Pelodiscus sinensis: one gene and its partner. The protein of the gene in region 1 purifies or fractionates together with the protein of each later gene. This does not show direct contact. Links are inferred from orthologs where the notes say so. Each region holds a gene or a part of one and is shown in the gene's direction. Other genes may lie near its edges.

Region 1 (7,775 bases):
GGGAACAGCAGCTGGGGAGGTGGCCAGGCCGGACAAGCCAGGTGCCTTCTTCCCGGGGCAGGAGGTGAACTCCCATGGAGGCATCTCTGAACCCTGGGGACTCACTGCTCAAGGACAAAGGGGTGAGGGGAGGCCAGGGAGCAGCGCAAGGGCAATGGCAGAGCTGGGGGGGGGGGGGGGGTGAGTCCAGACCTGAGCTGGCAGGGGGCTGTGGGGCTAGGGGGCCCCCTCAACCTCGGTGCCACATTAATTCCAGCTCCCCATGTTTCCTTGGTCCCTCGTGCGGTGGCTGCTGCCTTCCCAGGCACGTGGGGCTGGACCAGCCTGGCCTACGGCTCTCAAAGTGGGAGGGGCCTGAGCCTCTAGGTGTGTGGGGGGAACAGGGACCCGTCCACTGCAATGGGGGGGTGCAGCCCCCAGGGCAGCCTGGCACAGGTGTGTGGGCAGAACCTGGTCCTCACCCCGTCCCAGCCACTGGCCCTGTAGCCTCCTGGGGGTGCTAAGTGGGAACGGTGTGTGGGGAACAGCTGCCCCGGCTCTGCCTGTCCCCGCCCCCCAGCTGGCTAAGGGTCCCCTCGCTCACTGCTCTGGGGACAGGTGCTGCACATGCTGCCGCTCACCCTGCAGGGGGCGCCCCCGCTCGGGGTGGGGTGGGGGGAGAGCCTGCTGGCCCCATGCCAGGGGAGCTAATCCCTGCCCGACCCCCGTTCGCCTCCTTGTCCCTTGGCTCCGTGCTGGGGCTGGTTCTGAGAGCGCCCCCTGCTGCTGGGGCTGGGAGGGGAGTAAGGACAGAGCTACCCCAGGGGGCAGAGGTCGATGGTCCCAGCATGCGGGGCTGGGGCAGCCCCAGAGTGTGCAGGAGCCCAGGCTGGCTCTAGCCCCACTCACCCTCACTGTGGCCCCTCCCATGGTCTGTAGAGGCTCCTCCCATCCTCACTGTGGCTCCTCCTATGGGCTGTAGAGGCTCCTCCCACCCTCACTGTGGCTCCTCCCATGGGCTGTAGAGGCTCCTCCCATCCTCACTGTGGCCCCTCCCATGGGCTGTAGAGGCTCCTCCCACCCTCAATGTGGCTCCTCCCATGGTCTGTAGAGGCTCCTCCCATCTTCACTGTGGCTCCTCCTATGGGCTGTAGAGGCTCCTCCCATCCTCACTGTGGCTCCTCCTATGGTCTGTAGAGGCTCCTCCCATCCTCACTGTGGCTCCTCCCATGGGCTGTAGAGGCTCCTCCCACCCTCACTGTGGCTCCTCCCACGGGCTGTAGAGGCTCCTCCCACCCTCACTGTGGCCCCGCCCATGGGCTGGCGGGATCGTACCCCCCCCACCACAGCGCCCCCTGGACTTCCTGTGCTGAGGTCCCACATCCTCCTGGCCCTGAGCCTGTGCCCCCAGCCCTGCCTGCCAGCCTTCCCCAGCTGGGACCCTTGCTCCCCCTGCCCCAGCCAGACCCCTGCCCAGGCGCTACCCAACCTTGGCCCGAGCCCCCGTGGGACACCAGCCTCCAGCAAGAGCAGCAGGCCCCAGCCACCCTCCGTCCTGCCACGTGCCTGGTTCTGGTTGGATGCCACGCCTGCCACGTGCCTGGCACTGGGCTCTGATTGGACACCACGCCTGCCACGGCCACTGACCCCACTGGAGCGGAGGCACCCCCATGAGAAGAGCAGGCAGGTATGGCGGGCACAGCCACTGGTCCCCGTTGAACGGCTCTTGGCTGGGGGGTGGCGCAGCCTCGCCCAAACGTGTCCCCGGCCACGCCGGGCACCGGCGGTGGGTCACAGTGCCATGCTGAGCGCCCACTCTGCCCTCGGGGAAGGTGACAGGGCAGGAGCCGCCTGCCTACAGACAGCTTGGGGGGACTGCCGGGGGGGGGGGCCAGAGAGCAGAGAAAGTGTGTGTGTGTGTGTGTGTGTGTGTGTGTGTGTGTGTGTGTGCGCATGTGTGCACATCCCCCCTGCTGTGTGTGTGTGTGCGCAGACATCTGCTGTGTGCATGTACATCCCCCCACTGTGTGTGTGCAAATTTCCTCTGTGTGTGTGTGTGTGGACATCCCTCTGCTGTGTGTGTGCACATCCCCCCGCTCTGTCTTTGTGTGTGTGCGTGCGCACACATCCTGCTGTGTGTGTGCGCACATGCACATCCCCCTGCTGTATGTGTGTGTGTGTGTGTGCACATCTCCTGCTGTGCATGTGTGCACATCCCCCCCTGCTGTGTGTGCGCGCGTGGACATTTCCTGTTCTGTGTGTGCGTGCACATCCCCCGCTCTGTGTGCACATTTCCTGCTGTGTGTGTGTGTACGTGCACATCCCCCGCTCTGTGTGTGTGTGCCCGCACATGCCCAGCTGTGTGTGCGCGCACGCATGCCCCCGCTGTATGTGTGTGTGTGCACATCCCCCCACTGTGTGTGTGCACACATCCCCCTGCTCTGTGTGTGTGTGCACATCTGCTGTGCGTGTGTGTGCACATCCCCCCGCTCTGTCTGTGTGTGGGTGCACGCACATGTCCTGTTGTGTGTGTGCGCGCGCATCCCCCTGCTGTATGTGTGTGTGCACATCCCCCCGCTGTATGTGTGTGTGCACATCCCCCTGCTCTGTGTGTGTGTGCACATCTGCTGTGCGTGTGTGTGCACATCCCCCGCTCTGTGTGTGTGTGTATGCACATCTCCCCGCTGGGTGCATGTGCCCATCTGCTGTGCATGTGCGCGCGCACCCAGCTCTGCTGAGATGGACGCAATGGTGGAGGGGCTGGCGTGGCACCCAGAGCTGGGTGGGCGGATGCAGGCCAGGTACAATCAGAACTGGGGGGGCGCAGGCTGGACACAGTTGGCCATAGGGGAACACAGGCTTGGCAGTGCCAGGTGGGGCGTGGGGCAGGTACAATCCGAGGTGGTACCAGAGGGCTGGCTGAGCACAGCTGGAGCTGAGAGGTGCAAGCCAGGCACAAATAAAGTGGCTTGGGGGTGGAGCACTGTGGGGTGCAGGCAGGAGCCCTGGGGTTGTGGGGCTGGGGCCCCCACGTGGCCAGGGACTCACTGTGACATCACAGCCCTGCCAGGGGAGGTCATGGCCACGCCCCCAGCGAGCTGTGACATCACAGACAAGCCAGGCCCTGGCCGGGCTTGGAGGAGAGATAGATGCTGGGTAGGGGGTGTGGTTGCAGGACTATATGCTCGTGTTTGGGGAGGGGGATAAGGCCGTGGGATGTATCCCTTGACCTCACACAAGAATGGATGAAGTCAACAGGCAGTAGGTTTACATGGGAGCACTTCCCCCTGCAGTTAACCTGTGGAACTCCTCGCCAGGGGAGGCCAGGAAGCCCAGAAGCGTAACTGGGTTCATCAAAGGAGGGGCGGATGGGCCCCAAGAGTCACCTATGCTCTGGGTGACTCTGGCCTCCGCCTCCCCCTGCCACTGGGCCAGGGAATGGATGGCTGGATAATTGCTCTGTCCTAGCGAACCGGCGCCAGGTGTGGTCAGAGCTAGGCCGCTGGGCTGGGGGACTACTGGCCTGACCCAGAGTGGCCAGGCTTGAGTTCAAAGTAGGCAGAGAATCCAGCTCACACGCTCTCAGCAGGGCGGAGAACCCAGCCCCTCCCTGCCCCCCAGCGGGGCAGAGAACCCCCCCCCCAGCGCTGTCAGCAGGGCAGAGAACCCAGCCCCTCCCCGCCCCCTAGCGGGGCAGAGAACCCCCCCCCCCCAGCGCTGTCAGCGGGGCAGAGAACCCAGCCCCTCCCCGCCCCCTAGCGGGGCAGAGAACCCCCCCCCCCCACAGCGCTGTCAGCGGGGCAGAGAACCCAGCCCCTCCCCGCCCCCTAGTGGGGCAGAGAACCCCCCCCCCACAGCGCTGTCAGCGGGGCAGAGAACCCAGCCCCTCCCCGCCCCCCAGCGGGGCAGAGAACCCCCCCCCCCAGCGCTGTCAGCGGGGCAGAGAACCCAGCCCCTCCCCGCCCCCTAGCGGGGCAGAGAACCCCCCCCCCCCAGCGCTGTCAGCGGGGCAGAGAACCCAGCCCCTCCCCGCCCCCCAGCGGGGCAGAGAACCCCCCCCCCACAGCGCTGTCAGCGGGGCAGAGAACCCTCCCCCCCCACAGCGCTGTCAGCGGGGCAGAGAACCCAGCCCCTCCCCGCCCCCTAGCGGGGCAGAGAACCCCCCCCCACAGCGCTGTCAGCAGGGCAGAGAACCCAGCCCCTCCCCGCCCCCTAGCGGGGCAGAGAACCCCCCCCACAGCGCTGTCAGCGGGGCAGAGAACCCCCCCCCCCCCAGCGCTGTCAGCGGGGCAGAGAACCCAGCCCCTCCCCGCCCCCTAGCAGGGCAGAGAACCCCCACCCCCCCAGCGCTGTCAGCGGGGCAGAGAACCCAGCCCGCCCCCTAGCAGGGCAGAGAACCACCCCCCCCAGCGCTCTCAACGGGGCGGAGAACCCAGCCCCTCCCCGCCCCCCCCCCCAGCGCTCTCAACGGGGCGGAGAACCCAGCCCCTCCCCCAGCGCTGTCCCCGGGGCGGAGACCCCAGGCGACCTGCCCCCTTGCTCACCCCTCCGCCCTTCCCCTCGGAGGAGGGCGGCGGCTGGGGGCGGGCCGAGCGGTGCATTGTGGAGCCGCGCCGGAGCGCAGCAGGGGTGGGAGCCCGCAGTAGCCGGAGCCGGGGACCGGGACCGGGACCATGCGCCCACAGAGCCGGGGCAGCCAGGGGCCCAGGTAGGCGGGAGCCGCAGGCAGCCCATGGGCCCGGGCCCCCGCCTCCGCTGCGGCCGGGAGTGAGCGCCCGGAGCCGGCACCATGGGGTGAGGAACCGGCCGCGCGTCCTGCGCCCCGGGCGCTTTGTCCGCGGGGAGCCCGGGGGGCGGCGGCCTGGGGGCACTAGGGACCGGCGCCCCCCGAATCGCGAGGAGGGGTATCCCTGGGAGTCACTCTGGTGCCTCCCCCCGGCCCGTCTCCCGCCCCGGGGGGCGCCTTGAGCCCCCACCGTGGCCCCCGGCGCCCATCCCCGTGGCCCTCCGCCCAGAGCTTGGCCCGGTAAGGAACCCAGCGTCCGGGCTGGGGGGCGGGGGTTGTGCTTGTCTCGGGCGGGCGGAGCACTGGCGGCCCCAGGATCGCTTGGGCTGGTTCCGCCTCCCCGAGAGCCGCTCTTGGTCTCGGAGGGGAGGGGTCCGAGCTGGATCCTATGGGGCAGGGGGCTAGTCTGGGGGGCTGGTGTCCGAGTTGGATCCTATGGGGCAGGGGGCTAGTCTGGGGGGCTGGTGTCCGAGTTGGATCCTATGGGGCAGGGGGCTGGTGTCCGAGTTGGATCCAATGGGGCAGGGGGCTGGTGTCCGAGTTGGATCCAATGGGGCAGGGGGCTGGTCTCGGGGGTGGTGTCCGAGCTGGATCCTATGGGGCTGGTCTGGGGGGGGGGGGGTGTCCGAGCTGGATCGTGTGGGGTAGGGGGCTGGTCTGGGGGGGGTGTCCGAGCTGGATCGTGTAGGGCAGGGGGCTGCTCTTGGGGGGGGGGTGTCCGAGCTGGATCCTGTGGGGCAGGGGGCTGCTCTTGGGGGGGGGGGGTGTCCGAGCTGGATCCTGTGGGGCAGGGGGCTGCTCTTGGGGGGGGGGGTGTCCGAGCTGGATCCTGTGGGGCAGGGGGCTGCTCTTGGGGGGGGGGGTGTCCGAGCTGGATCCTGTGGGGCAGGGGGCTGCTCTTGGGGGGGGGGGGGGTGTCCGAGCTGGATCCTATGGGGCAGGGGGCTGCTCTTGGGGGGGGGGTGTCCGAGCTGGATCCTGTGGGGCAGGGGGCTGCTCTTGGGGGGGGGGGTGTCCGAGCTGGATCCTGTGGGGCAGGGGGCTGCTCTTGGGGGGGGGGGGGTGTCCGAGCTGGATCCTATGGGGCAGGGGGCTAGCTTGTCTGTGATGTCACAACCCACTGTGGGGGTCAGCCTTGACCTCCCCTGGCAGAACTCGGCCAGAACTCAGGCATCCTGGCTCCAGTTTCTCCCCCGGACCCGGATCCCTGCCCAAACCCGGAGTCAAGTGATGCTGGTTCCGGGTGCTGCCCCCCATGGACCCCGGGCTGGCTGCAGGGCGAGGTGTGTGCATCAGGCCCCCCTGCCTCCCTTAGGGTGGCCCTATGCCTGCCTGTGGGAGCAGCCCCCCACCCCCCATTGCTCACAGCTGCGCCTGGGGGTGGGTCCCAGGAAAGTTCCCCCATTCTGTGGGCTGGGTGCTGCATAACCCCCAGCTGTCTGTGTCTCTGGGGGGGGGGGGGGTCCGGTGGGGTCTGGCCTGCCTGGGCTGGGCTCAGCTGTTGGCACTAAACATTCCAGAGCTGCTGGAGTGGCTGGGGGGGGGGGGGGGGTTGGGCTCTGTCTTTGGTGCTGTTCCTTGGAGGGTGTGAATCTGTGGGGCAGACGTGTGGGGCGGGCTTGTGGGTGCTGGAGCCACAGCGTCTGCGGGTTGCTAAAGAGCAGGAAGTGGCCACAGGCAGGCTCCGGCTTCCCCTTCCCGTTCTGTAGGGGGGGAGGTGTTGTTCGGAGGGGGGGGCTCTTGGCAGGCCCCTGGGCTACAGCAGAAGCGGGGTGAGCCCTGCCTCTCCCCCCACCTCATACCCTGGGGTCCTGCTGAAGGGCCTGACCCCTCCACCCCCATTGCATTCTGGGATCCCCCCACCCCAGGGTGCTGGGACCAGAGCCTGCTGGAAGTGGGGGGAGGGTGGAGACACCCAGCCCCCCCACACACACCTGGGGCTTGGGCGCTGGGGGTTGGCTGCAGTCAGGTGCACGAACCCCTTAGGTGCTGTCTGGCCTGGGCCAGGAGGGTCTCCTGGGGTACCCCAAGGGGGAATGAAGGTGTGTGGGGGGGGTCATGAACACACCCAGCCCTGCTGGGGGTTGTCCCCAGGGTGCCCAGAAAGCGGGGGAGCCAGGGGAGGGGCGGTAGGCTGTGGAACCCCCCCCCTCATACCCGCAGGACAGGGCTTGGCAGGAAGTGACTCAGGGTCCCACCCAGGGAAGGGGGGGGGGGAACAGACGCATGGGGGAGGGGGAAGCCCTGGACTCGGGATGGTACAAGATCAAGGCCCCCTGGATTCCCCCTCCCTAGCTGCAGAGACTCCCGTCTGCCCCCCCCCCCCAGCCCCCACCAGGACTGGGGTAGCAGGTGCTGCGGGGTGAAGTTGAGGGGAGCCGGGGTGGGAGGGGCCAGCCCCGGAGCAGGGCAGGTTGTCCTGGCCTGACTCCTGCAACTGGCCCTGCTCCTCCCCAGAGGCAGCTGCCTCTCCCTCCATGGGGGGAGGGGTGTCCAGGCCCAGCTTTGGTGCCTCGGCCCAGCCCCCCTCCACACCCATGTCTCCCCAGGTGGAGGAGGGTGGGTCGGGGCTCAGCCCTTCCCCGGGTGTGTTTTGGGGGTGGCTGGGTTCCTGATCCCCCAAACAGGGAGAGGGGAGCAGCTCTGGATTGTGTCCTGTTTAACCCCCCTCCTCCCCTGGAGACAAACAGGCTCTGTCCTTCAAACCTGCCCTTATATGGTTACAGGCAGCTGCTTCCCCCCCCCCTTCCTGCTCCAGAGTCCGCCCCCCCAGGTGCTGCCTCCCAGGCTGGTGCCCCACCCCTTCTGGCTGGGGAGCCCAGCCCTTTCCATGGTTCTGGGGGAGGGGCTGCCCTCCTGGGCTGGGGGTTTGGTGGGTGGGGAGGGTCAGAACCCCAGGCTGAGTCTGGCGGAAGCATGTCAGGGAACCCTGGGGGGGAAGGGGGGTCAGGCAGGCAGGGAAGGGGACACAGTTGGTTGGGCCAGGTCCCTGCAGCTGGCAGGAATCTGC
Region 2 (7,713 bases), on another chromosome or scaffold:
GGACAGGCATTATGTGGGGCTGTGGGGAGCGAGAGATGCAGGGGCCCCAGCTCAGTTTCAAAAGGCTTGCAGAGCCCATACTCAGCCTGACCCATCCCCCATCCTCTGCCCCTCCCCCCACCGACAGGAAGTGAGACTCTCCACCCCTGCCCCCCCACCGCAGAGGAAAAAAGTTGTACTGAAGAAGTAAAAAGTTGCAAACTGACATGTAATTCCTCCGCCAAATAGTCCATGACGCAACTTCTGGGCTGGGCCAATAGGAACCCACAGCTCAGGTTAGGGGTTTCCCTACCTGGTTCATAGGGAGCCTTGTGTGGCCTGGTGTGTCTGAATGGACATGTGTGTGTCTGGATGGGGGAAGGGTGGAGTCACATGTGTTAGCATGTCAGTGGGGAAGAGGGCTGCACATGTATGTCCTGGTGTGTAGATGAGTGGGGCGGATGTGATTGCTCGGAGGGGGGTGTTACCCATGTATCCATGCATACTTGCAGACAAGTGTGTGCATGCTTTTTTTGAATGCTTTGTGCATGGGCACAGTGGGTTCTTGCCTGCAGTCTTGGCCCAGCGTTTGCATGCTGACGTGTTGGTCCATGTTTGTGCGTGTGAGAGAAGCCTAGAGTAGCAGAATAGAGTTCACATGTGTCCATGCATGTCTGAAGTTTGCCTGTGTGCCCCAACATGTGAAATATTAAAATTCCTAGGGCCTGCCTGAGCATGCAGTTTGCCTGTGCTATTGGGCACATGTTGACATATATGATGTATGCATGTGGAAAGGAACATGGGCCAGTATATGACTTGTGGAGCCCTGTTTTGGACCTGGGTGCATTCGGGGGAGTCAGGCCCTCTGGCACTGAGAGGTTCATCTAGATGGCTCTGGGATTTGGACAAGGGGGATTTGAATGATATGGGGGGGCTTTCAAGGGCACATATGGGGGAGGGCGTGAAGTGGGAAATGAGGGAATGAGGTTGCCGGACAGACAGCAGATGGAGTATGGTGGGAATAGGATGCCCTGCTGAAAAGGCGGTACATGAGGGGGAAGTTGGTGCAATGCAAATAAAGGAGACCCTAGGGGTGCATAGTGCTATGGGGATACACGAGTGAAAGGGGGTACAGTCTGAAAAGGAGGTGCTGTGGGGTACACGAGGGAAAGGGGGTGCAGTGTGAAAAGGGGCGCTGTGGGAGCACATGAGGGAAATGGGTGCAGTGTGAAAAGGAGGCGCTGTGGGGTACCTGAGAGAAGGGGGGGCAGCGTGAAAAGGGGCGCTGTGGGGTACACGAGGGAAAGGGGGTGCAGCGTGGAAAGGGGCGCTGCGGGGTACACGAGGGAAAGGGGGTGCAGCGTGGAAAGGGGCGCTGCGGGGTACACGAGGGAAAGGGGGTGCAGCGTGGAAAGGGGCGCTGCGGGGTACACGAGGGAAAGGGGGTGCAGCGTGGAAAGGGGCGCTGCGGGGTACACGAGGGAAGGGGGTGCAGCGTGGAAAGGGGCGCTGCGGGGTACACGAGGGAAAGGGGGTGCAGCGTGGAAAGGGGCGCTGCGGGGTACACGAGGGAAAGGGGGTGCAGCGTGGAAAGGGGCGCTGCGGGGTACACGAGGGAAGGGGGTGCAGCGTGGAAAGGGGCGCTGCGGGGTACACGAGGGAAGGGGGTGCAGCGTGGAAAGGGGCGCTGCGGGGTACACGAGGGAAGGGGGTGCAGCGTGGAAAGGGGCGCTGCGGGGTACACGAGGGAAGGGGGTGCAGCGTGGAAAGGGGCGCTGCGGGGTACGCGAGGGAAAGGGGGTGCAGCGTGGAAAGGGGCGCTGCGGGGTACGCGAGGGAAAGGGGGTGCAGCGTGGAAAGGGGCGCTGCGGGGTACGCGAGGGAAAGGGGGTGCAGCGTGGAAAGGGGCGCTGCGGGGTACGCGAGGGAAGGGGGTGCAGCGTGGAAAGGGGCGCTGCGGGGTACGCGAGGGAAAGGGGGTGCAGCGTGGAAAGGGGCGCTGCGGGGTACGCGAGGGAAAGGGGGTGCAGCGTGGAAAGGGGCGCTGCGGGGTACGCGAGGGAAGGGGGTGCAGCGTGGAAAGGGGCGCTGCGGGGTACGCGAGGGAAAGGGGGTGCAGCGTGGAAAGGGGCGCTGCGGGGTACGCGAGGGAAAGGGGGTGCAGCGTGGAAAGGGGCGCTGCGGGGTACGCGAGGGAAAGGGGGTGCAGCGTGGAAAGGGGCGCTGCGGGGTACGCGAGGGAAAGGGGGTGCAGCGTGGAAAGGGGCGCTGCGGGGTACGCGAGGGAAAGGGGGTGCAGCGTGGAAAGGGGCGCTGCGGGGTACGCGAGGGAAAGGGGGTGCAGCGTGGAAAGGGGCGCTGCGGGGTACGCGAGGGAAAGGGGGTGCAGCGTGGAAAGGGGCGCTGCGGGGTACGCGAGGGAAAGGGGGTGCAGCGTGGAAAGGGGCGCTGCGGGGTACGCGAGGGAAAGGGGGTGCAGCGTGGAAAGGGGCGCTGCGGGGTACGCGAGGGAAGGGGGTGCAGCGTGGAAAGGGGCGCTGCGGGGTACGCGAGGGAAAGGGGGTGCAGCGTGGAAAGGGGCGCTGCGGGGTACGCGAGGGAAGGGGTGCAGCGTGGAAAGGGGCGCTGCGGGGTACGCGAGGGAAAGGGGGTGCAGCGTGGAAAGGGGCGCTGCGGGGTACGCGAGGGAAGGGGGTGCAGCGTGGAAAGGGGCGCTGCGGGGTACGCGAGGGAAGGGGGGTGCAGCGTGGAAAGGGGCGCTGCGGGGTACGCGAGGGAAAGGGGGTGCAGCGTGGAAAGGGGCGCTGCGGGGTACGCGAGGGAAAGGGGGTGCAGCGTGGAAAGGGGCGCTGCGGGGTACGCGAGGGAAAGGGGGTGCAGCGTGGAAAGGGGCGCTGCGGGGTACGCGAGGGAAGGGGTGCAGCGTGGAAAGGGGCGCTGCGGGGTACGCGAGGGAAAGGGGGTGCAGCGTGGAAAGGGGCGCTGCGGGGTACGCGAGGGAAAGGGGGTGCAGCGTGGAAAGGGGCGCTGCGGGGTACGCGAGGGAAGGGGTGCAGCGTGGAAAGGGGCGCTGCGGGGTACGCGAGGGAAAGGGGGTGCAGCGTGGAAAGGGGCGCTGCGGGGTACGCGAGGGAAAGGGGGTGCAGCGTGGAAAGGGGCGCTGCGGGGTACGCGAGGGAAAGGGGGTGCAGCGTGGAAAGGGGCGCTGCGGGGTACGCGAGGGAAAGGGGGTGCAGCGTGGAAAGGGGCGCTGCGGGGTACGCGAGGGAAAGGGGGTGCAGCGTGGAAAGGGGCGCTGCGGGGTACGCGAGGGAAAGGGGGTGCAGCGTGGAAAGGGGCGCTGCGGGGTACGCGAGGGAAAGGGGGTGCAGCGTGGAAAGGGGCGCTGCGGGGTACGCGAGGGAAGGGGGTGCAGCGTGGAAAGGGGCGCTGCGGGGTACGCGAGGGAAAGGGGGTGCAGCGTGGAAAGGGGCGCTGCGGGGTACGCGAGGGAAAGGGGGTGCAGCGTGGAAAGGGGCGCTGCGGGGTACGCGAGGGAAAGGGGGTGCAGCGTGGAAAGGGGCGCTGCGGGGTACGCGAGGGAAAGGGGGTGCAGCGTGGAAAGGGGCGCTGCGGGGTACGCGAGGGAAAGGGGGTGCAGCGTGGAAAGGGGCGCTGCGGGGTACGCGAGGGAAAGGGGGTGCAGCGTGGAAAGGGGCGCTGCGGGGTACGCGAGGGAAAGGGGGTGCAGCGTGGAAAGGGGCGCTGCGGGGTACGCGAGGGAAAGGGGGTGCAGCGTGGAAAGGGGCGCTGCGGGGTACGCGAGGGAAGGGGGTGCAGCGTGGAAAGGGGCGCTGCGGGGTACGCGAGGGAAAGGGGGTGCAGCGTGGAAAGGGGCGCTGCGGGGTACGCGAGGGAAAGGGGGTGCAGCGTGGAAAGGGGCGCTGCGGGGTACGCGAGGGAAAGGGGGTGCAGCGTGGAAAGGGGCGCTGCGGGGTACGCGAGGGAAGGGGGTGCAGCGTGGAAAGGGGCGCTGCGGGGTACGCGAGGGAAGGGGGTGCAGCGTGGAAAGGGGCGCTGCGGGGTACGCGAGGGAAAGGGGGTGCAGCGTGGAAAGGGGCGCTGCGGGGTACGCGAGGGAAGGGGGTGCAGCGTGGAAAGGGGCGCTGCGGGGTACGCGAGGGAAGGGGGTGCAGCGTGGAAAGGGGCGCTGCGGGGTACGCGAGGGAAAGGGGGTGCAGCGTGGAAAGGGGCGCTGCGGGGTACGCGAGGAAAGGGGGTGCAGCGTGGAAAGGGGCGCTGCGGGGTACGCGAGGGAAAGGGGGTGCAGCGTGGAAAGGGGCGCTGCGGGGTACGCGAGGGAAAGGGGGTGCAGCGTGGAAAGGGGCGCTGTGGGGTACGCGAGGGAAAGGGGGTGCAGCGTGGAAAGGGGCGCTGTGGGGTACGCGAGGGAAAGGGGGTGCAGTGTGGAAAGGGGCGCTGTGGGGTACGCGAGGGAAAAGGGGGTGGTGGGACCCCACTGGGGTGCATTGCGGAAAGGGGTGCCTAGTTCCGGGGTGCACGGAAAAGAAGAAATAGATCCGATCGGGGGGCGGGCCGGCGGATGGATTCCAGGCTCGCTGAGCCCCTCCCCCGAGGGGAGCTGGCCTATGTAAAAGCCGCGCGCCGGGCCGGGGGGGCCCATGCGTTTTGCCTTTTGCACTTCTGCCGCTCTCCAGTGCCTGCTCCTCCCCGCGCCCAGGCCGGAGTGGGCGAGTCCGGTACGTCCCCCGACCGGCAGCACCTCCCCCCACACACACTCCCGCCGCCGCGTGCCACAGGGCGCGGTTGATTCGGTCGCGTCCGGCGGGGCCTCTCCGGGATCGTGCAGGGCGCGCGCCCGGTCCACCACCAGCAGCAACAGCAGCAGCAGCCATGAGCGGCTGGTCCTCCTACATCGACAACCTCATGGCGGACGGCACCTGCCAGGATGCGGCCATCGTGGGCTACAAGGACACCCCGTCCGTGTGGGCCGCCACTCCGGGCAAGACGCTGGCCAACATCACGGTGAGGCCCTGGCGGGGGAGAGGGGTGCCTTGCAAAGGCAGGGGAGATGGCGAGGCGCATTGCAAAAGAGGGGCCCGGATTCCAAAGAGGGGAGGCAAGTGCCTGGGAGGGCTGCATTGGGAAAGTGGGGTGCGTGGCAAAACAGGGGACCCCGGGAGGGTGCACTGAAAGAGAGGGGAGGCAGGAAGTGCTTGGGAGGGCTGCATTGCAAAGAGGAGGCGGCTGGGGAATGACTGGGGGTATCATTAGAAAGTAGGGGTCCCTTGCAGAAGAGTTTGTGCAGGGGGTATAGGAAAGGGGGCAGGGAGCCTGGATTCCAAAGAGGGGAGGCCGGAAGTGCATGGAGGGCAGGGGGTGTATATAGCAGAAGGGGATAACGGGGACATTGCTAAAGAGGGCGGAGGGAAAGTAGGGAGTGTTGGTGTAAGTAGATGTGGGTGCACTTGAGAGAGGGAGATCCGCAGGAGGGATCAGGCCCTTGTGGGGTGTAGTGCACAAATAGGCCCGAGTGTATCTGGGTGAAATGGGGTGCTTGGAGTCGGGGGGAGGTGTTAGATCGCCAGGGTGAAAAAGAGGAACTGGAGGGACAGGGTGATGGACGCACATGGAGAGTGGGGGAGACCCTGTGGCTGCAAAAAAAGTTTGCAAAGTCTTTAGGGGAGGAAATAACCCACAGTTAGCAGCGAACAGCAACCCCCACGACTTCCTTCTCTGCAGTAGCCTCCCTTTCTCACTACCAGCACCCCTTTCTTTGTGGAAAGAAAGAAAAAGCCACTTCCTCTTGAAAAGCCTCACAGCATGGGGGGGACCTTGGTTCCCCCCCAGCTTCCAGTTCCTTCCAAGGCTGCTTTGCAAATAAGGGCCAAGAAGGACCCCTGGGGGCTCTCAGACTCCATCCCTCCCAGTGGGTGTGAATAGGGCCTAGCTAGCACCTTCTTGCAGGCTTTGCGGCCAGCCCCACCCTGCTGCTGACTACAGGGCCCAGGCAGCTACCAGGAGGAAATGACTCAAGAAGAGACGGAAGGGAGGCGGGGGGGGGGGGGGGAGGACATGAGGCCTATATCTGTCCCTGCCTGTGCAAGGCAAACTGGCTCCAAAGTGTCAGAATTCCCTGATGAGTCTTATCCCACCCTCTGAGACAGGGATGAAAACACAGTTCATCTGCTAGCCTAGACATGCAAGTTTTTAGCTTTATTTTTTTACTGCATTGGAAATCCGATTTCCTGGTTCTTTATGGTGCTTTCATGGCTGCCGTGCCCCAGAGATGGCTGTATCTCAGGGCCAAAGATCCCTGTAAGAGGAGCTGCCTCACCACAGAGCCAGCTGCAGCTGGCCTCCATCCTTGTGGCAGAGTTTTAAAAGTCTAACTTCATGTTGCATCCCTCAGAAGCCCCCCTCTTGTGCACTTTCAACCTGCATGAATTGCAAACTGCAGCATCAGGTTGCAGATATAGAGTTGGGGGGAGAGGGGGAGGCTGCCAGACTTGAGTGCTGGGGCTCAGCAGTTGCTGTCTTGAATCAGGAATTCTTGTGCAAAAAAATTCCCTTCTCTCCCCGCTAGCAGAGAAGAAACTCTTGTAAACTTCTCAGAAAGCCAGCTACCCCCTCTGCTGGGTTAATAAAAAGGGTGGAGGCGGGAAGCAAGTTTACCGTCTGTCTGTATTTAATCTTTTCCTTTCACTGCCACGTCTTTGCCTGCTGCTGCTGCGGGCCTGAATCTGTCTCTCTTCTAATCTTTCCAGATCTCCCTTTTTTCCTGTTCCCCTCCTCCCTGCTTGCAAAAACAAGTTCAGTTCAGCCTCTGCTTCCCATTTCTGTGTTTTAAAAAAAACAAATCCCCTGCCTCTGCTCCCAGTTCAGGGCCTAACTTTTTCTCCCTTCTTGTGGAAACTTTTTGGCTGAGAGTACAAAATATTTTCCCGCTTCAAATGCCTTCCTAGCTAGTGTCTAAGGCTGATTCCTCTCCCTTCCTGTCTGGAAAACAGTAAGGGTGTTTAGAGTCTCCTGCCATCTTGTCCAGCTGTCCTGGCCAGAAAGAGGATGGGAAACCAACTAGGATCCTGTTGGATTCCAGATGAGAGTGTATGTGTTTATTCCAGGCTAGGGATGTAACTGGTTAACAGGTAAGCTTCACCTTTACCTCACCATTATCTGGTAAGGGTGATGCTTACCAGTTAAGGGATCTCGGTTAAATGGTTAACTTTACCTTACACCAGGTAATTGGGACTTTACATGCCTACTTCAGGTCCTTTACAGGAGCGGCTCTGATCCAAAGTGACTTGGGTATGAGTCAGCACAGAGCTGGTACAGACCCATCCCTGTCCCGCTCCTGCAGTTGTACAAGTGTGTCAGCATACCCCCGCCCCCCCTGCCCTGGCTGCTGCTTTTAGATGGGTGAACATGGGGAGGGGGGATCTGGAACACTTCTCCCTTCCCCTCATTGCTGCCAGGACCAGCAGTCTCTACTCTCCCCTAGAATGGGTCAGGGATGAACTGCTCATGTGCTGGGGCCCATCTGGGCCCCCTCTTTTTCTAGTGCTGTCGGGAGGGACACTCACAGGACCTTAGCGAGGCAGATTCTGGCATATCCAGGTCACCTGAGGGGGAATACCATGCCCATAACATCCATGGGGATCCCCTCCTTAATATCTTGTCTCCCAGGATTTCTGGGTTCTCTCCCTGGCTCTGGGAGGTGAGTGAGGGCTGGTG

What was found. Proteins that work in one complex are often made in the same cells at the same time.
Region 2: the proteins of VASP (region 1) and PFN1 purify together in Homo sapiens (affinity purification with western blotting; 3 studies listed by BioGRID and IntAct, with this or other methods). This does not show direct contact. The link is inferred for Pelodiscus sinensis from reciprocal best matches to the Homo sapiens genes VASP and PFN1.

What each region holds. Positions count from the first base shown.
Region 1 is NW_027465849.1:6,815,914-6,823,688, reverse strand, and holds the start of VASP (vasodilator-stimulated phosphoprotein), read left to right. Parts: upstream 1-4,532; 5' UTR 4,533-4,652; coding exon 4,653-4,687; exon of another isoform or gene 4,688-4,768; coding exon of another isoform or gene 4,769-4,773; intron 4,774-7,775. UniProt on the Homo sapiens protein: Ena/VASP proteins are actin-associated proteins involved in a range of processes dependent on cytoskeleton remodeling and cell polarity such as axon guidance, lamellipodial and filopodial dynamics, platelet activation and cell migration.
Region 2 is NC_134734.1:8,471,257-8,478,969, reverse strand, and holds the start of PFN1 (profilin-1), read left to right. Parts: upstream 1-4,623; 5' UTR 4,624-4,872; coding exon 4,873-5,004; intron 5,005-7,713. UniProt on the Homo sapiens protein: Binds to actin and affects the structure of the cytoskeleton. At high concentrations, profilin prevents the polymerization of actin, whereas it enhances it at low concentrations. By binding to PIP2, it inhibits the formation of IP3 and DG.